Linked DNA regions of Stegostoma tigrinum. Each later gene encodes a partner of the first gene's protein in a complex. Links are inferred from orthologs where the notes say so. Each region holds a gene or a part of one and is shown in the gene's direction. Other genes may lie near its edges.

Region 1 (10,782 bases):
CATTGATGACTGTATCGGCGCCACTTCTTGCCCCCCAGAGGAGCTCGAACAGTCCATCCACTTTACCAACACCTTCCATCCCAACCTCAAGTTCACCTGGGCCATCTCCAACACCTTCCTGGACCTCTCAGTCTCCATCTCAGGTAACGAGCTATAAACTGATGTCCATTTCACGCCCACCCACTCCCACAACTACCTAGAATACACCTCCTCCCACCCACCCTCCTGCAAAAATTCCATCCCCTATTCCCAATTCCTCCGCCTCCGCCACATCTGCTCCCAGGATGAGGCATTCCACTCCCGCACATCCCAGGTGTCCAAGTTCTTCCAGGACCGCAACTTTTCCCCCGCAGTGGTCGAGAACGCCCTTGACCGTGTCTCCCGCAACACATCCTTCACACCCCGCCACAACCGCCCCCAGAGGATCCCCCTCGTCCTCACATACCACCCCACCAACCTCCGGATACAACATATCATCCTCCGAGACTTCCACCATCTACAATCCGACCCCACCACCCAAGCCATTTTTCCATCCCCACCCTTATCTGCCTTCCAGAGAGACCACTCTCTCCGTGACTCCCTTGTCCGCTCAACACTCCCCTCCAACCCCACCACACCCAGCACCTTCCCCTGCAACCGCAGGAAGTGCTACACTTGCCCCCACACCACCTCCCTCACCCCTATCCCAGGCCCCAAGATGACCTTCCATATCAAACAGATGTTCACCTGCACATCTGCCAATGTGGTATACTGTATCCATTGTACCTGGTGTGGCTTCCTCTACATTGGGGAAACCAAGCGGAGGCTTGAGGACCGCTTTGCAGAACACCTCTGCTCGACTTGCAATAAACAACTGCACCTCCCAGTCGCAAACCATTTCAACTCCCCCTCCCATTCCTCAGACGACATGTCCATCATGGGCCTCCTGCAGTGCCACAATGATGCCACCTGAAGGTCGCAGGAACAGCAACTCATATTCCGCCTGGGAACCCTGTAGCCCAATGGTATCAACGTGGACTTCACAGCTTCAAAATCTCCCCTTCCCCCACCGCATCCCAAAACCAGCCCAGTTCTTCCCCTCCCCGCACTGCATCACAAGACCAGCCCAGCCTTTCCCACCCCCCCCACGACTGCATCCCAAAACCAGTCCAGCCTGTCTCTGCTTCCCTAACTTGTTCTTCTTCTCACCCATCCCTTCCTCCCACCTCAAGCCGCACCTCCATTTCCCACCTACCACCTCATCCCGCCTCCTTGACCTGTCCATCTTCGCTGGACTGACCTATCCCCTCCCTACCTCCCCACGTATACTCTCCTCTCCACCTATCTTCTCCTGTATCCATCTTCGGTCCGCCTCCCCATCTCTCCCTATTTATTCCGGTTTCCTTTCCCCATCCCCCTCTCTGATGAAGGGTCTAGGCCCGAAACGTCAGCTTTTGTGCTCCTGAGATGCTGCTTGGCCTGCTGTGTTCATCCAGCTTCACACTTTATTATGTTAGAATCTTGTAAAATGCATTCTAGAAGACCACGCTTGTGGCTTTCAGATGGTAGTGAGGAAAGATTACACGTGTCTCTGGATGAAACTTGAAGGCACTGTCAGCACCACTCAACCAAATGACTATTATGGGTTATTGTTATTCTCTTGCTTTTTCATCATAATTGTGCACATGTAATCATCGTCTGCCTCTTGAAGATTTTGTTTCAACCTGCCTCCACTACAGTACCAGGTAGTGCATTCCAAACCCAAACTACACACTATATGAAATAACAAGGTGTAGAGCTGGATGAACACAGCAGGCCAAGCAGCAGGAAAGCTGACCCTTCTTCAGACCACTCATGATTTTGAGAACCTCTGTCAAATCTTGTATCTTTTTGTTCTGAAAGGAAAGCAAACCCAACACAATTTCACTACTCTCTCATAGCTGAAGTTTGTCTTCCCTGGAACCATTCATGTTAACTTCTTACTGTTCACATTTTTCTAAAAATATACATGGTACATTAACACTTCAAGTGAATTTTAAATGGTGTATTACAAAATTTCAGCATAACTTCGTTGGTCTTGAGCTCTGTGGCCCTATTAAAAAAAAGTCAGGATCTATGTTTCGTTACGTGTTTGTATTTCGGAAAGTTAAGAGCCGGCATCTACTGAGCAGTGAAACTATTTAAGATAACAAAACGTGTGGGGCTGGAAGAACACTACAGGCCAAGCAGCATCTTAGGAGCACCAAAGCAGATGTTTCGGGCCTAGACCCTTCATCAGAAAAGGGGGATGGGGAGAGGATTCTGAAATAAATAGGGAGACAGGGAGAGGCGGACCAAAGATGGATAGAGAAGATAGGTGGATAGCTGAGTGTGGGTGGGGAGGTATGGAGGAGATAGGTCAGGTCAAGGGGGCGGGATGAGGTTAGTAGGTCAGAAATGGAGGTGCAGCTTGAGGTGGGAGGAAGAACAGGTTAGGGAAGCGGGGACGAGCTGGGCTGGTTTTGGGATGCAGTGGGGGAAGGGGAGATTTTGAAGCTGGTGAAATCCACATTGATACCATTGGGCTGCAGGGTTCCCAAGCGGAATATGAGTTGCTGTTCCTTCAGCCTTCAGGTGGTATCATTAGAGCACTGCAGGAGGCCCAGGATGGACATATCGTCTAAGGAATGGGAGGGGGGAGTTGAAATGGTTTGCGACTGGGAGGTGCAGTTGTTTACTGTGAACCGAGTGTAGGTGCTCTGCAAAGCGCTCCCCAAGCCTCCGCTTGGTTTCCCCAATGCAGAGGAAGCCACACCGTGTACAGCGGACGCAGTATACCACATTGGCGGGTGTGCAGGTGAACATCTGCTTGATGTGGAAAGTCATCTTGAAGCCTGGGATGGGGGTGAGGGAGGCAGTGTGGGGGCAGCTGTAGCACTTCCTGCGGTTGCAGGGGAAAGTGCCAGGTGTGGTGGGGTTGGAGGGGAGTGTGGACCGGACAAGGGAGTCGCGGAGAGAGTGGTCTCCCTGGAAGGCAGACAAGGATGGGTGGAGAAAAATGTCTTTAGTGGTGGGGTCAGATTGTAGATGGCGGCAGTGTCGGAGGATGATGTGCTGTATCCGAAGGTTGGTAGGGTGGTATGTGAAGGCTGGGTGTGAGGGACGAGGTGCGGGAAATGCAGGAGACATGGTTGAGGACGTTCTCGTGCACTGTGGCGGTGATGTTGCGGCCATTGAAGAACGAGGACATCTGTGATGTGCGGGAGTGGAATGCCTCATCCTGGGAGCAGATGCAGCAGAGGTGAAGGAATTGGGAATATGGGATGGAATTTTTGCAGGAAAGTGGGAGGGAGGAGGTGTATTCTAGGTAGCTATGGGAGTCAGTGGGTTTGAAATGGACATCGGTTTATAGCTGGTTGCCCGAGATGGAGACAGAAAGGTCCAGGTGAGGGATGTGTTGGAGATGGTCCAGGTGAACTTGAGGTTGGGGTGGAAGGTGTTGGTGAAATGGATGAACTGTTCGAGCTCCTCTTGGGAGCAAGAGGTCGCGCCGATACAGTCAATGTAACGGAGGAAGAGGTGCGAATGAGGGACTGTTCCACATAACCTACAAAGAGGCAGGCATAGCTGGGGTCCGTGTGGGTACCCATGGCCACCCGCTTTGTCTGTAGGAAGTGGGAGGAATCGAAAGAGAAGTTGTTGAGGATGAGGACGAGTTTGGCTAGGCGGATGACGGTGTCGGTGGAGGGGGGCTGGTCGGGCCTGCGGGACACGAAGAAGCAGAGGGCCTGAAGGCCATCTGCATGGAGAATGCAGGTGTATAGGGACTGGACATCCGTGGTGATGAAAATGACGTGTTGGGGACCAGGGAATTGGAAGTTCTGGAGGAGGTGAAGAGCGTGGGTGGTGTCACAGACGTAGGTGGGGAGTTCCTGGATCAAGGGGGAGAAAATGGAGTCCAGATAGGTGGAGATGAGTTCGGTGGGGCAGCAGCAGGCGGAGACAATAGGTCGACCAGGGCAGGCGGATTTGTGGATTTTGGGAAGGAAAACTCCCACTTCCTACAGACTAAGGGGCTAACTGAGGAGACATTCCACTCCCGCACATCCCAGATGTCCTCGTTCTTCAAGGGCTGCAACATCACCCCCGCAGTGCTCGAGAGTGTCCTCGACCGTGTCTCCGACATTTACCACACCTCATCCCTCACACCCCACCCTCGCAATAATCACCAAAAGAGAATCCCCCTAGTCCTCACATACCACCCTACCAACCTCTGGATACAACGCATCATCCTCCGACGCTTCCGCCATCTACAATCCAACCCCACCACTAAAGACATTTTTCCCACCCCACCCCAACTTTGTCTGCCTTCCGGAGAGACCACTCTCTCCATGACTCCCTTGTCTGCTCCACGCTCACCTCCAAACCCACCACACCCGACACTTTCCCCTGCAACCGCAGGAAGTGCTACACCTGCTCCAACACCGCCTCCCTCACCCACATCCCAGGACCCAAGATGACATTCCACATCAAGCAGATGTCCACCTGCACATCCGCTAATGTGGTATATTGCATCTGCTGTACATGGTGTGGCTTCCTCTGCATTGGGGAAACCAAACGGAGGCTTGGGGAGTGCTTTGCAGAACACCTCTGCTCAGTTCGCAGTAAACAACTGCACCTCCCAGTCACAAACTATTTCAACTCCTCCTCCCATTCCTCAGACGACATGTCCATCATGGGCCTCCTGCAGTGCCATAATGGTACCAGCCCTAGGTTGCAGGGACAGCAACTCATATTCCACTTGGGAACCCTGCAGCCCAATGGTATCAATGTAGATTTCACCAGCTTCAAAATCTCCCCTCCCCCCACTGCATCCCAAAACCAGCCCAGCTTGTCCCTGCCTCCCTAACCTGTTCTTGCTCTCACCGATCCCCTCCTCCCACCTCAAGCCGCACCTCCATTTCCTACCTACTAACCTCATCCCGCCCCCTTGACCTCTCCATCCTCGCTGGACTGACCTATCCCCTCCCTACCTCTACTCTCCTCTCCACCCATCATCGGTCCTCCTCCCCCTCTCTCCCTATTTATTCCAGTTCCCTCTCTGATGAAGGGTCTAGGCCCGAAACGTCAGCTTTTGTGCTCCTGAGATGCTGCTTGGCCTGCTGTGTTCCTCCAGCTCCACACTTTGTTACCTCGGATTCTCTAGCATCTGCAGTTCTCATTATCTTTGAGCGAAACTATTTAACCTTCGTAACAATCATGTCAACAAGCAGCTTTAAAATGTATCATTGTACAGAGTAGTTTTACAGTTTATTTTTCATTAGAATTCTAAAATCTGCATTTGTTTTAAATCGAGAAACTAAGGTGAACCGTAAAGAACTAAAGTCGCAGCAAAAAACAAAAAAGAAAGCAACACCTCACAGGACGAAATGCATGATACCATTTGCTTTTTCGAAGCCGAGAATTCTACAAGCGTCTGAGAAATTTAGTAAATTCCCATTGGTATACAAATTTGGCGTTGAGAAAGATACGGTGGAAGAAAACGGTGCCATGTGTATCGGCTTTAACACGATGGGCACAAGGAAACGAGCGGACTACGCACTTCAAAATATGTCTCGCACAATCCCCAAGATTTTCACATTTATCCGCTTAATTCGCACCGTTTCCTATTGTTCAAAATAGGCACCTTTTTAAATGATCATTCCATTCCTTTTCAAATAAAAACACTTGTATTATTCTCTTTAAACTAGTGCGATTAACCTATAATTCACGTGATAGTCAATTTTATATTTCTGAATTTTCCTTACGAAGCCCTACCAATGTTGCCCTCCACTGAAATCCTGGTCACTGCCCGACTTTTACTGTGAAGTTCAACAGCCACAGTTCTGGAGCAAACGCGTTTCCGAGCAGCTTCTGTTCCCATCATCAGCTCAACCTGATCGCGCCGCTTCCAGGGAGAGTTCACGGTGAAAGCCAACCTCCGTCCCCGGGTTTGTAAAACCTTCTCTGGGTCAGGAAATAAACTCGGCAAGCAGCGATCAAACCCGTCTCTGTGTAGCATTCGGCATTGCGGAAAATTCACGCGTGTCAGTCCCGTTAGAGATCTGAAGTGCAGAGGCATTTTAACTGCGCTCTGACAAGTGTTGCTGCACACATAATGCTGCAGATCATGTTCTCGTCCACGATCGCTAGCTGCGTGAACGACTCCGCCAAAGCACAGAGCTGTTCGATCACTTCGCTTCCTCTATGCTGGAAACGACCTCTTCACATAGGTGAAGCAGTTCCGGGTTAATGCAAATGATAATGTTATTTTACAGCCTCCGTCTTCAATTAACAGGTTGGATTTACATCTGAAGAGGATTTAAAATGGTTGACTGCGTCAACGCGCGCGAAAAAGCTAATTAAATATATAATTTTGAGTCAACAAGTTCTGTGAAAGTGCACGATCCCTTGACAGCTATCTTATTCTACGCCACCTTGGATCATTTGGTACAACCCCCTTTATGCCACCTTTAAGCGATTTCCAGGACTGCCCTTAGCCACAAACTTTTGCTTTTCAATCTCATCCGACAAAATGGCTTGAGATGTTGCAGCAAAGTTATGTTGAAGCAAAGTGTGACAATTAAGTGTATTGACATCCACTAACGTGGGTGAATTATTGCACTTAATCATTTAATATAACAATCATTGGAGAAATATCTCGTATGTTGAACACCACAGCAAGTACAGGTTCTTTACAGACTCGGGTGGAGAAGTTAAAGTCAAGAACTGCCTTCATTGAGGTTGTTGACCTGCTCTCCGAGCTAGCTTTCTTTCGTTCAGACGTTTTGGCACCAGGCGAGGCCTCTGCTGAAGCAATGTTATTCTACTCTGCTTGGAATTGGTCAGCTTTTGTGCTCCTGAGATGCTGCTTGGCCTGCTGTGTTCATCCAGCTTCACGCTTTATTATCTTGGATTCTCCAGCATCTGCAGTTCCCGTTATCTCTGGAATTTATACTGCCTGGTTCACGATGGTGAGTAGTGCCATTTCCGCTTTTGATTTGTATGAGTTTGTACATAGGATCCAATTGTATATGTTTGTTGATAGCATTACAGGTTGAGAACCTTCCTATAGTAATTCCTATGTGTGTCTAATGTTTGGCTTGGGCGACTATGGTTACATTCCCAGTTAAACTGATGGCCTTCATTGTCTGAATGTATTGAAATTAAGAAAAGTTTGTAGTGTCATTTTGCTGCTAGCTGATGTTCGTGTATTCTGATGGCTAGTTTCCTTCCTGTCTGTCCGATGTAATGTTTGACAGTTGTTGCATGGTATTTTGTAAACCATATTGGTTCTGCATGTTGTAGGAGTGGGGTCTTTAATCCTTGAGTGTTTGTCAGAGAGTGGCTGTAGGCTTGTGGGCTACAAACAGACACGCACAGGAAACACAGAATTAGACCTCATATACAAACCCATACAGATCAAATCCTGAAAATGACACTACTCACCATAACGGACCGGATGGTATAAATTGCAAGTGGAGTAGACCAATGTCGTTTCATCGGAGGCCTCATGGATGAGGTTACCTCGCATGGTGACAGAACGCCTGAACAAAAACAAGGGTATGTTTGGCTGGGGGACTTGAGGCTGTTTTCATTAGAGAGAAGGTGGTTGAGAGGTGACTTAATTGAAACATAAAATAATCAGAGGGTTATATAGGGTGGATAGGAGGAGCCTTTTTCCTAGGATGGTGACAGCGAGCACGAGGGGGCATAGCTTTAAATTGAGGGGTGAAAGATATAGGACAGATGTCAGAGGTAGTTTCTTTACTCAGAGTAGTAAGGGAATGGAACGCTTTGCCTGTAAACGGTAGTAGATTCACCAACTTTAGGTACATTTAAGTTGTCATTGGATAAGCACATGGACATACATGGAATAGTGTAGGTTAGATGGGCTTGAGATCGGTATGACAGGTTGGCACAACATCGAGGGCCGAAGGGCTTGTACTGTGCTGTAATGTTCTAAGTTCTATGCCAGCTCAGCAAGCAAGTCAACAACCTCAGCCACAACCTGAGCTACAAATCTTTGCTAACATTTCAAACTGTCTTCAGGTTTCATCTGGTCTTCAAAGTAACATTATTTATTGAATATTAATACTAAATCCTGCTGTAGATGATAATCATTCACTTATCAGGCTCTGACTTATCGAAATGTTAGGTAAGGACTAACCTAACTTCATGTGTTCTCAAATTGTCTTCCAACAAGGAGAGAGTTCTCATGTAACCATAAATAGTGGTTTTTCCTCCAGCGTTCTGATCCAACCACACTCTTGGTATTAAAACTTAGTGAGCTGCAGCTGTGTGATATCACCACAAAGTTGCTACTGTGTTCCAATCCCTAATACAAATTCAAGTATATGACAATTCACAGGGATGGTTAAGCAGGAGAGAGAGACACACTGACCATAGCTCTCCACTTGCTGTCCTGGCCAAAAAAGGTGTATACTAACCGAAGGTCCGAGTTTAATATTCGTTCAAGAAATCCTCATTAGTTCTTAACTGGTTAACTGCATGTGCCTTGAATTTCTTAGTCACTCATTATTCAAATAACAGGCTCAGGCAGTGGCATTATTTGCTTTTCATTGAAAATGGACATTTCTGATGGCCCAGAGAAAGGTGGGGCTCAACCAATTCTTGAATGGCTGGATTCCATGTGGTGAAGTTGCATTATTTACCCAATGGCTATGACTTGGACTAAGCTGTGACAGTAATACCGGACAAGTCAGATCCCAGCGTGACATATGGTTCATTCGTCTCATTTTTCAATTTGTTTACCATAGTGGGCAGTCACTGAGTACGTTAGAGGTTGCGATGTACTTTTTGCAAAAATTTCAAACACAAAAATGGGAAATCCAAGCCATTTTACACAAGTGTAAGAACTGTTTGAATGGATTTTATGACAAATAAAACGTCAACCTTCCAGCTTCTCTGATGCTGCATGCGCCGCCTGGTCCACGCTGTGTTATCTCTGACTCCAGCATCGGCAGTTCTTACTATCTATAAATAAAAATGCAGATGTTTTACCCTGAACACTGCCTTACAGCTACTCACACTTCAATGAAATGTCACCTAGCTTCTATAGTTTCTTTTTCAGTTGACATGGGTGTGCTTGTTCTTTTGTTTCTGCATCACTTGATGTTGTTGAAATAACTACAGAGACCAGTATCCTATCACCAGGTCACCCATTGTTTACATCTGGAGAAACCTTGACACAGTCAGCTCTATCAGGGCTGTCTGGCATACCTCTTACCTGTCAGCCATAGCTCTCTGACTGGACAAGTTTAACAGCCCCTCATATTCTATAATCAGCCATGTGGACATAATTGTTTCAATGACTGAAGTTGTCAGTTTTAATTAATGTCTGTCCACAAGACCCTGAAACTGATCATACTGATCACTTACTCCTAAACATGTATTCTATAAACACATTTAACAATCTTGCAGATAATGCATGCCTTTTGAAATTATTCCCTAAACAGATTCTACTCTTAATCTTTCACACTGATGTCACTTTTAATTAAGAGGCCTGATCATCACCTTTTCCAAGCATCTTACCGTGTTGAAATATCAAGTACCTTGTGTATTTGATACCTTGCAGTCAATTCTTTTTAATGTTTGTCATAGCGTATATTTATGTTGCATCAAACTGACAATTCATGCCTTCCTGCTGCACTCTGCTTGTTAACCATGTTGCAAACCTTGACGACTGTCTTATCCTTTCCTTATAAATTTATCACTTCTCCCTTTGCTTGACCTCAAACTCCCCACACTTCTAAAACCTCTCTACTGCCCAAGTTATACAACTCAGTGCAACACTTAAAAGTCCACTGAGACAGGTGAAGACCATACCGAAGGTATGACTTCCATTTTCTGCAGTAACACTGCCAGTGGCGCATGAATTGAAAAATATTTCTCTCACACCAAGCTTTGAACCACACATTTAATTCTCTGATCAGATTTACCCTTCACCAATTTAAGATGGAATGTAACAAATTAACCACAAGGAGGACCAAAAGCATTTTGTTTCTGATGTCGGTCTAAGTTTCCACAGGCAAAGCAAATATAAAAGGTTTGTGTTAACAAAGTGACATCTTTTGGCTGATTGTTGGCTGTTGGGATTTCTTCACAGGACTAACACTTTCAAAAGATCTACATTATGTCCATGCAAGAACAACACAAAAATGTTAGCATTCAAATGAGGAAAAAAAAGGGAACAATTGTTTATTTGCCAAGAAAATTGTATGCCACGGCAGGAGGATGAACAGAAATAATAAAGATGCAGTTAGTTAAGCTGAAACTATTTTTGAGGAGTGTGGAAATATGGTTGGATGTTTCATCATGGGACATAAACAAGGTACAGTACATTAGAATGAGAAAATAAACTTAGTGGGAGATGTGTCCAATTGACATTTATAGTGGTATTGAACAGGGAACTACAGAATGGGAATTTTTGATATGTATTGGGTAATAACAATGCTGGAATAATGAAAATACAAATGTGTAGCACCTTTTGCACAACCATTGAATTACATTCAAAAGATTGCTATGAGCATTTTACTTCTCTTATCTATCAAATAACCATTGAGCTTCAAAGTGTATGAAACAGGTTCCAGATAGGGAAGAGAACATTCGAGGTCAAGGGTGCGACATCATGGAATGCTAACATTTCACTGAAGGAATCTCAATTTTAGGCTGACAAAACAGTGTGGTGTAAAATTAAGTGTTGTCTTTCACCAGTCCAATTGTGATTAAATCTAGTTCATGCTGGGTACATTCACTGTGGTT
Region 2 (10,473 bases), on another chromosome or scaffold:
GTACAGGAAGCCACACCGGGTACAACGGATGCAGTATACCACATTGGCAGATGTGCAGGTGAACATCTGCCTAATATGGAAAGTCATCTTGGGGCCTGGGATAGGGGTGAGGGAGGAGGTGTGGGGGCAAGTGTAGCATTTCCTGCGGTTGCAGGGGAAGGTGCCGGGTGTGGTGTGGTTGGAGGGCAGTGTGGAGCGAACATGGGAGTCACGGAGAGAGTGGTCTCTCCGGAAAGCAGACAAGTGGGGATGGAAAAATGTCTTGGGTGGTGGGGTCAGATTGTAGATGGCGGAAGTGTCGGAGGATGATGCATTGTACCCGGAGGTTGGTGGGGTGGCCGAAATAAATCCAGTCCCATTTGCCAGCATTTGGCCCATACCACTCTAAACCCTTCCTATTCACATACCTGTCCAGATGCCTTTTAAATGTTGTACCAGCCTCTACCACTTCCTCTGGCAGCTCATTCCATACACTTAATGGTAAGCTCTGTGTGAAAATCTTGCACCTCAGATCCCTTTTAAATGTTCATCCTCGCAAATTAAACCTATGCCCTCTAATTTTGGATTCCCCACCCTGGGGGAAAGACCTTGTCTATTTTCCCTATCCATGTCCTTCATGCTTTTACAAACCTCTATAAGGTCACTCTCTGGCCTCAGATGTTCCAGCGAAAATAGTCCCAGTCTATTCAGTCTCTACCAGAGATCAAATCTTCCAATCCTAGCAACATCCTTGTAAATCTTTTTTGAACCCTTTCAAGGGACCAGAATCGTACGCAGCATTCCAACAGTGGAATAACTAATGTCCTGTGCAGCCACAACGTGACCTCCCAACTCCTATCCTCAATGCACTGACCAGTAAAGGCAAGCATGCCAAATGCCTCCTTCACTATCTTACCTACTTGTGACTCCATTTTCAAGGAACTGTGAACCTACACTCCAACGTCTCTTTGTTCAGCAACACTACCCAAGATCTAACCATTAAGTGTACAAGTCCTGCCCTGATACCACTTTCCAAAATGCAGTACCTCACATTTATCTAAATTATACTCAATTTGCCACTCCTCAGCCGATTGGCCCATCTGATCAAGATCCTATTGCATTCTTGAGGTAACCTTCCTCGCCGTCCATTACCCCTTCAATTTTAGTGACATCTGCCAACTGTCTAACCATACCTCCCATGTTCCCATCCAAACCATTTATGTAAATAACAAAAGGAGTGGACCCAGCACCATGTGGCACACCACTGGTCGCAGGCCTCCTATCCGAAAAGCAACCCTCCACCATCACCCTCCGTCTCTACCTTCGAGCCAGTTCTGTATCTAAATAGCTGGTTCTCCCTAACCTAGCTAAATCAGTCTACCATGCCTTATTGAAGTTAGTGATACATGATTTCCCACACACAATCCCTAATCAGCCCTTGCCTTTCCAAATATTTGTAAAGCCTGTCCTTCAGGATTCCGTCCAACAACTTGCCCACCAATGTCAGGCTCACCAGTCTATAGCTGCCTGGCTTTTCTTTACCATCTTTCTTAAATAGTGGCATCAGGTTAGCCAGCCTCCAGTCTTCCAGCACCTCACCTGTGGTTATCGATGATACAAATATCCGAGCAAAGGACACAGCAATCACTTCCCTAGCTTCCCACAGAATTCTAGGGTACGCCTGATCAGGTCTTACTTAAGGGTGCTAGAAGAATGTACCATTTACATGTCATTTTTAAATGCTGCAAAACATCTCAGAGAAGTATTAATAAACAAAATATGCCACTGAGTCACAGGTGACCAAAAACTTTGTCAAAGGTAACAGACGGATACTATTTGGTAATGATGCATTATTATTAATGATTCTTGCTTACAGTGGTTTTGACATCAAGCAACAACCAAAGCATGCTTCTGACTTAGATCATCGAGTCCCATTTTATCAGTTGACACACCAGGATCCAAGGATGAAAAATGTTTCAGTTCCAATGAAGCTTTATACCTGAAAGGTTAACTTATGTTGTTACTTTCCAGACGCTACATGACCTCATGATTGTGTCCATTGCTTTCAGCTGTAAATTGAGATTACCAGCATTGCTTTTTTGAAACATGTACATGTGAAGAAACAATAAAAAAATCGCTGCTTGTAAGCTCTTTATGTTCATTTGGTATGTGCATGCACACATATTTCAACAAGGGTCACTCTATTCTTCTCATTGCGAAATCAAGAGTCACAGGGAAAGGACAGGAATATGGATCTGAGGAATGCTAGGTCAGCAATGATCCTATCAAACAGTGGAGCAGGCTTGAGGGGGTGAATGCCGAACTTCTGTTTCTATTTTTTATGGTCTTATGTTGGATGACGCACAGGGCCCCTGACTTTTTAACTCCCTTGTTTAATGGTGTTAAGACCGCTTAGTGTGCCTCTACTGGAGAACAATGAATTCAGCACAGACCAGGAATAAAACGATGAGAACAGGTTTAATCTCTTTAGGTGCTTTTCAGTCTACTCATATGATGCTACCTAGACCACAGGCTATAACAGTACTAGCATATAGTCATGAATGGCAAATAAAATCAGTACAATACCTCAGTGACCTTGAGCTGTGCTACTTGCACCTCTTTCAGTCCAACAAACTCCTCATATTTCTCCCACAAGGAATTGGTTGTGATTCGAATGTGCTCAACAGTTTTTTTGCTTAAATCTTTGCTCAGTTCCACCCACTTCAGCTGTGTCGCATTGGTAGTTTCATTTAGAGTCTTGGCAACTGTTTTCTGGGTGGGCTGTGAGCAGTAAACTCGTACTTGGAGACTGTTGCTTCTTGCAATATGGAAGCAAGAAGCACGGGGGCACATCACACTGAGTAGCTGCCTCTTCATCTCCAGGTTCACTTCAAAAGTGGTATTATTCAGCCAGAGCTACAAATAACCTGTGAATGCAGAGACAAATGTGACTTACAGACCTCATGCAGCAATGTTAATACTGGCGAGCATTTAGATAGAATGTTAAACGTAGTAAAATGGCAAGGTGCTTCACAGAAACATTATCAAACAAATTATGATAGCAAGCGACATAAGGAGATATTAGGGTGGGGACGTTAGTTAAGGGGTAAACAAAAAGGAGAGAAAAAAATGCGGAAGATGGGTCTAGGGAAGGAATTCCAATGTGTAGGCAGCTAAAAACAAACAGTGTCATCCATATTAGTATGCTTACAATTAGGAATAGTCAAGAAGCCAGCTAATTTGGAGCAGTGCAGATATCGGAGGGATGTAAGGTTAAAGGAAATCACAAAAATAGGGAGGGGAGTGCATGAGCATTTTAAAATTTAAGTGTTTGTTAGCTGGGAGCCAATATAAGTCAGCAAACGCAGAGGTGATTGATAAATAAGATATGGCGAGAGTCAGTTCTGCTGCCTGTTCCAGTACAAGGAGGGTAGAATGTGGAAGGGCAGCCAGGAGAAAGTTGAAACAGTCATGTCTATATAGGTGTGAATGAGATGATTTCACTAGAGCAATAATTTCAGAGATTGAAATAGTGATCACAGTAATTTTCAAGGTAAATGGTTGAATGTTCATCTTGGGTTGAACTAAAGTTGCAAACAGTCCTTCACCAACTGGCAGTGCAATGTTGCAGCTCTCCCTACTCACTGCATTCCACACATACCAATTCATCCATTCAAGACATAATCTAAAGAATGCAACTGAGTTGTTCCAGAAGTTGGAACAACATCAATTTTCCACTCAGTTTAACAATTTACCGTAAAAAGTAATAATGTGCCTTCAAATCTCACTAACATTCATTGACAGTTATAATTCAAATCCTGTTCTATCAACGTACTTTTAATGGTCTACCATCTTTATTCCCTGGCAAGATAAACCCACCTGGTCAACATTATTGTCAGTTTAAAACATCAACTAAGAGAAATTTCACATCTTTAAAGGATACAGAGTCAGGATTACCAGTTATAAACTGTGTCCTGTAATGAAATGCTTCCCACAACCACATCACCAGAGTTTCCAAATGAGCAAAATCATTGAATGAATAAAATACAGATATATATTAGCAGAAATAACTTATTTTTTAAGCTTATCATTATAAACATTTAAAATGGTAAATTAAGAATTCAGGGATGTTGTTTTCTAGATGGGGGCTTGTGAAAAATTCAGTATATGACTACAGTAATTGTTGATGAATTTTTTATAAAAGTCAATTCTAAACTAAATTACAACAATTAATTACATCACATAATATTACTAAAAAACAAATACTTCACCAAGAAGTACAAATATGCAAGGCTTATTTTAATGAGAATTATGTACTTCAACATTGTGATTACAGATTACATTAATTATATTTTCTTGATTAAAATTGGCAATTTTATAAATTCTTATGGTACACACTCCATTGTCTTAGTTTCTATCTTCCAGGTATTTGACAATTTTACATTAATGATGCCTCCCAAGTCTCAAAAAGACCTGCACTTATCTGGAATGTTTCATGCTTGCTTTGTGGCACTTATTCAAATACTATATACCATATTTAACACATATCATACTTAACGTGGAGCAGACTTGGAGAGATCAAACAGACTACCCTTGATCCTATCTTCTATGCCTCTATGCATAGAATTTACACCTTCATCTATTTCTTATATCAATCGTTTCTTCACAGGCCAAAGATGAACGGGTTCGGTGGATGAGCCATGCTAAATTACTCTTGGTGTCCAGGGATGTCAACGTTAGATGGATTAGGCATGGGAAAATACAGGGTTGCAGGGGTCGGGGGGAGTCGAGATATGAGGTGTAATGTGGTGTGAACGTGATGGGCTGAATGGCCTGCTTCCACAGATGATAAAATGTGAGGCTGGATGAACACAGCAGGCCAAGCAGCATCTCAGGAGCACAAAAGCTGACGTTTAGGGCCTAGACCCTCTGATGAAGGGTCTAGGCCCGAAACGTCAGCTTTTGTGCTCCTGAGATGCTGCTGGGCCTGCTGTGTTCATCCAGCCTCACATTTTATTATCTTGGATTCTCCAGCATCTGCAGTTCCCATTATCTCTGCTTCCACAGAGTTGTGATTCTGTGACAATGTAATATCTCTGCTGCACCAAGGACACAACAGTCACTTTCTCCAGCTTCATCAAACTAACCCATCCCCACCCCCCCTCCTCACGAGAGAAATTACTGGCCTTTCAGGTTAGGAGTAATTCACCTCTTACTCCTCCGTGCGACAAGGTTCTTATTTTTTACATACATATACAAGGTTCTTTTCTGTGGTAATTACAGCACAGATTCCTAAGGCCGGGTTGAAGTTTTTGTGCTGATCCTCTTGCCAATAGCCACATTTCTGCTGAGCGCCTCTGGCTCCATAAACTTTCCCCACTCCCAGCTCTGACCTTTAACCTTCACCGTGATCACTGCGCCTCCGCTGAGAGGAACCGGTTTCCGTGGAAACCCCCCCCTTTACTGCCCATTGCCGCTCCGCCCCCGCCCCGATATTGGATTCCTGCCCAGAGACATTACAGCGAGCTGAAGGCATTATATTTTAACTAATTTACAGGAATCCCGCCCCCCGATCCCGCACCCACCGTAAACTCCTCCACTTACTCCACCATCCGCGTCCACCGATTCGTCTGAATCATGCCGGCGACCAACGTTTCAAATAGAAAGAAACACGGCAGCCTCCCCTTCTGTTTATATCGTATTATTCGTACTTTTATTTCTAGTGAGCTGCCCTGCCGTTGAGTGTCTGTTTCCGAATTAATTCTTTCGAATATGCGCCTGATAAACACATCACTCCATTTACTCTCCGGATTGTCACTCCCGATCGCTCCCAGCAGATTCGCCTCTTTCATTCATTCTCGCAATTCAGGCAGCTGGAAAATATAGTTGCTTGTGAACGCCCATAATAAATCGAACAGGACAAATCACCGCGATGCATATATTTCTAGTCAGATTTTCCTATTTGCGCCTTGCGTATTTTATTCCGGGATATGAATGCAGTGTAGACTGTGTTGAATGTGCTGTTGATTGAATTCAAAGTCAGTTGTTGGTGGAGGAGGCGCCTTTGTTCCATCTTGTGAGTGGAACCCTGGGTTAACATTCAAACTGAGGGGGAAAGAGCCATTTGGTAACAGAGAGAGGGCAGGAGAGGTTGGGGCAGGTCTGGGCTGTATGTCTGTGTGAGTTTGGCTGTGTGTTTAGTCTCCTCCTGAACCCTGGCTTCCTCTGTGTGTGAATGGGGGTGGGGGGTGCCCCTGGGAGAGATGCTGTTGTTATGGAGCTCACAGCCTGGTTCCTTTACTGACTGCCTGGTGGTGATGGGCCTGCTCTGGAACAGCACACCGCAAACCCCTATCATCTAATCACACACACCATCATCCCTCTGCACTGACATCACTACAGGAGCACAACAGAAATGATCCATCCTCTTAACTTGGTAATATTCTTAAATATGTATGCTTTTTTCAGTTGCTCTGTACTTAAATGCTTAATCAGTCCAACTCCCCCTCCTCAGTTATAAATATTTATTGTAAAATATGCTGATAGATGTAATGAAACTCAAAAGAACAACTTTAATTTTAATACATTTTGCCATTTTATTTGCAGAACTGATGCTTTGTTCAGGTTGCCAGCAGCATGAAAGTGTCTGACACTATGGCTGTTGTCATTTTTCAGCAGATAGTTGCTGAAAACTGGATATTTCATTTACAATTATTGTGTATTTTTGCTGATTTGGCAGGCCAATGCTGCTATCGCCATTAGGCTAGTTGTGCTCATGTGCTGTGCAGTGTGAGTTCTGCTAAACCAAGAGCTCTGTCCCTGATCTGTCATTGTTGGAGTTAAATATTAACTGGCACTTCTGTGAATATATGATGAATGAAACAGATTGAGTTGGAGTTAGATGCTTGTTGGTATTGATTTGTCATTTGGCTGTAGTAAAATTTGTTCTTTGCTGTGTGATAGTTAAAGCACCATTGCAAATGTGCTAACAGAATGATGTATGAAATTACACTTCTGTGTTCTGTATGTGGAATTTTATTTTTCTTTATTCTTACATGGAATGTCAGCATTGCTGGCAAACGTAGCACTTGTTGCCATTCTTAGTTATCACTGAATTGAGTGGCTAGCAAGGCATTTCAGAGAGCAGTTAAGAGCCACGACTTTGCTGTTGTTCTGGACTCACATGTAGGCCAACCAGGTTAGGTTGGCAGAGTTTTCTTTGTTTAAAAAAGTTAATGAATTAGATGGAGTTTTACAACAACGACAGTTTTATATTCCATATTCATTAACTAAATTCAAATTCCACCTGCTGCTATAGTGAGATTTGTCCCCAGAGCATTAGACTAAATTATTCTGGAATACTAGTGCAGTGACATTTTCACTACATCATCATCACCCCATTGATTTGAAATATTTCAAAAGGTTATCATGCTGTTTGTCCAACATTTGACACTCACTGCTGTGTTCTCAACATTGGACTTGAAAATGTTTGTGGTATTGCAGAATACATGTCTGTTTTATGCAGACAGCATTGATTCTGGCATGCCTCGGTCAACGTAATGCTGTGCACATAACTTGTGCCTGTTTGATCACTGCACTTTGAATGTGTAGTTGGTTATCACTTGGAATTGCATCTGTCATTGCTAAATAAAGCATGTAGCTTTTACAATTCCACTTGGCTTCATAAACAGATACATTCAGTTTTCAAGTCTTATATTGATTTCTGGCTGATCTTCCATGGTATTGCTCTGGAGTAGCTTATCAAATGACTGTGGCTGTTTGTACTGTTCAGCTATCAAGACAGCTTGTCTCAGACAACAGCTAAGGGCCTTTGCATCAAGATTATTTCCATAGTAACTTTTTTGGCTTATTTGGAAGCAAAATGAATTGCAAGTGTTTGAGTTTTCTGATAGCTGCTTCTGCTCTGGGGAAAAACCAGAAGACAAGCAGGAAATGCCTGGCTTGTTGTGTTCTTGTGTTTGTTGTTTCAGGGTATTCCATTCTGATGTGTTTTGTGCAAAGTAAGACATCTAATGAAAAGATAGAGCAGTGAGATTGTGCTCTCCCAGATACAGTCCTTGTATTTAAAAAGCATAGTTTAATCAATGTTCTACATGTCCCTTTCTTTAATTGCAAGGCAAGCGATTTAACTGCTTGTGCTGCATCCAATATCTATGGTTGTGTAATTGGAATCATAAGAATTGCAAGAGCAGTCCTGGCTGGCATAGCATATTTAAACAATACATGTAGCTAATGCTATGAAATCGAGAAAGGTTTACTTTTCAGTCAGATCCATCTTTTTTAAGAATGTGCAACTACCATGTTCCAAAATTTGTTCCATTGCTTCCCTGGTCAGATTCATATGTGGGGATGTTATACTTTTGAGCTTGCCTGGATTTGAGCTGCCCATTTCCTAACTCAAAAGTTGCTATCACCGGCATGTTCATTGACCAACACTGGTTCCCAACACCTTGCAATATTTAAAATTCTAATCGTTGTTTTCCAATCTCTCTGTGGTCTTCCTTCTTGCCATCTCTGTCAACCTCCTCCAGCACAACAGTCCTTTGAGATCTGAAGAAGGTTCTCGACCTGAAGCATCAGCTTTGCTGCTCCTCTGATGCTGCTTGGCCTGCTGTGCTCATCCAGCTATACACTGTGTTATCTCAGATTCTCCAGCATCGGCAGTTCCTGTTATCTCTGTAATCCTTTGAGATCTCTGTGCTTTCCCAGTCCAACCTTTGGACAGACCACTTTTATTCATTCTACCTTTAGCAGCCGTGCCATCAGCTGCCTGGGCTTGAAGCTCTGAAATTCCTTTCTAAACCCCTGGAGTGCTCTTTGCTTCTTTCAGATGCTCCTTAAAACCTGTCTCTGACCAAGATTTTGTCTTGACCTGATATTGCATAATGTGGCTTTACGTCAAATTTTATTTAATAATGCTCCTTCAAGACACCTTGGGATATTTATCAAGGTGTAGAGCTGGATGAACACAACAGGCCAAGCAGCATCAGAGGAGCAGGAAAGCAGATGTTCCGGGTCCTGCTCTTCTGCTTGGTCTGCTGTGTTCATCCAGCTCTACACTTTGTTGTCTCAGATTCTCCAGCATCTGCAGTTCCTACTATCTCTGGAATAATTATTAATATGTTTTTGCTGTGACAGGGTTAAGTGTCCATACTGTTATTCCATGAATTACTATTTGAATCAGCAATGGAATGGTATGCAAACTGTCATATTTTTGACTGTATTAAAGGAGACCAACTCACTTGACCGATAACATTTGCAAAACACCTAAACATGTGGCAATTCTTATGTGGCAATTTGTCAATAACTAGTTCAGGAAGCTCTAAGTTGAACCCGTGTACTTTTCTACAAGGAAGTCAAATTGTGGAATGGACAAAATTGTCTTCTGGCTTTTCTCCAGGGCAGAAGCAGCTATCAGAACATTCAAACACTTCCAATTCATTTTGCTTCCAAATAAGCCAAAGGATTACTATGAAAATAACTTCTTGATGCAAAGGACCTTAGCAATGGTCTGAGACGGGCTGATTTGATAGCTGAACAGTACAAACCGCCCCAGTTATAACCTAATAGGCAACTCAAGAGTTATTTGTGAAATCATAGGAGCAGTTTGCACCTCATGCTCAGATGTTAAAGATGGGCAGCTGGGTACACAAAGGAAGGTATAAATATATTTCATAAAAATTTAAATTAAAAATTTAAGATAAAAATGCCAAAGCATTTCCCTGACTTGGTAGTGTTTAAAATTGTGTCACGTTAAGGATCCTTGCAAATTCCCCTTTCATTTGTCTGGTATGTGATGAGTTTGAACTCTCCTTGAATTATATATTCAGTGACCGAGGTGATTAGTTTTGTTTCATGGCAGTGATGGTGTAGTCAGAAAAGTCAGCAATGACCTCTAATTTTTAGTTCGTGCTCGCAAACATAACTGAACACAGGATCAATAAACAGGTGTACAAGACAAATGTGGAGTATTGATGTGGATTTAATGCTGTGTGTATGTTAATTTAACTTGTCTAATTAGTGCAGGTTCCTGGTTCTTTTCCCATTTGATGTCTTATTATAAGAGTAATAAGATCATACAGCATGAAAACAGACCCTTTGTCCAACCAGCCCATATCCCTCCAAATACTTTTTATTCATGTACTTATCTAAATCTTTTAAATGTTATAACTGTACCTGCATCCACAACTCTGCCTGGAAGTTCATTCCACACATGAACTACTGTGTGTTTAAAAAAAATGCACCCATGTCTTTGTTAAATCTTTCTCCTCTCACCCTAAAAATTTGCCCCCTAGTCTTCAAATCCCCCACCCTAGGGACAAGACACCTGCCAATCACCTTATCTATAGCCCTTAAGATTTTATAAACCTTTTATGAGGTCACCTCTCAACCTTCAACATTCCAGTGAAGAGAGGCCCATCCAGCTCTCCTGATAACTCAAATCCTCCATTCCCAGTAACATCCCGGTAAGTC

What was found. The genes of interacting proteins can lie anywhere in the genome.
Region 2: histone acetyltransferase KAT6A-like (region 1) and brpf1 share a complex: the UniProt entries of both Homo sapiens proteins name them as parts of the MOZ/MORF complex. The link is inferred for Stegostoma tigrinum from reciprocal best matches to the Homo sapiens genes KAT6A and BRPF1.

What each region holds. Positions count from the first base shown.
Region 1 is NC_081393.1:14,499,705-14,510,486, forward strand, and holds the start of histone acetyltransferase KAT6A-like, read left to right. Parts: upstream 1-6,279; 5' UTR 6,280-6,971; intron 6,972-10,782. Other genes in the region: deoxycytidine kinase 2-like, read right to left, coding at 5,776-6,079. UniProt on the Homo sapiens protein: Histone acetyltransferase that acetylates lysine residues in histone H3 and histone H4 (in vitro). Component of the MOZ/MORF complex which has a histone H3 acetyltransferase activity. May act as a transcriptional coactivator for RUNX1 and RUNX2.
Region 2 is NC_081364.1:17,909,107-17,919,579, forward strand, and holds the start of brpf1 (peregrin), read left to right. Parts: upstream 1-6,039; 5' UTR 6,040-6,415; intron 6,416-10,473. Other genes in the region: ccdc51 (mitochondrial potassium channel), read right to left, coding at 2,566-2,856. UniProt on the Homo sapiens protein: Scaffold subunit of various histone acetyltransferase (HAT) complexes, such as the MOZ/MORF and HBO1 complexes, which have a histone H3 acetyltransferase activity.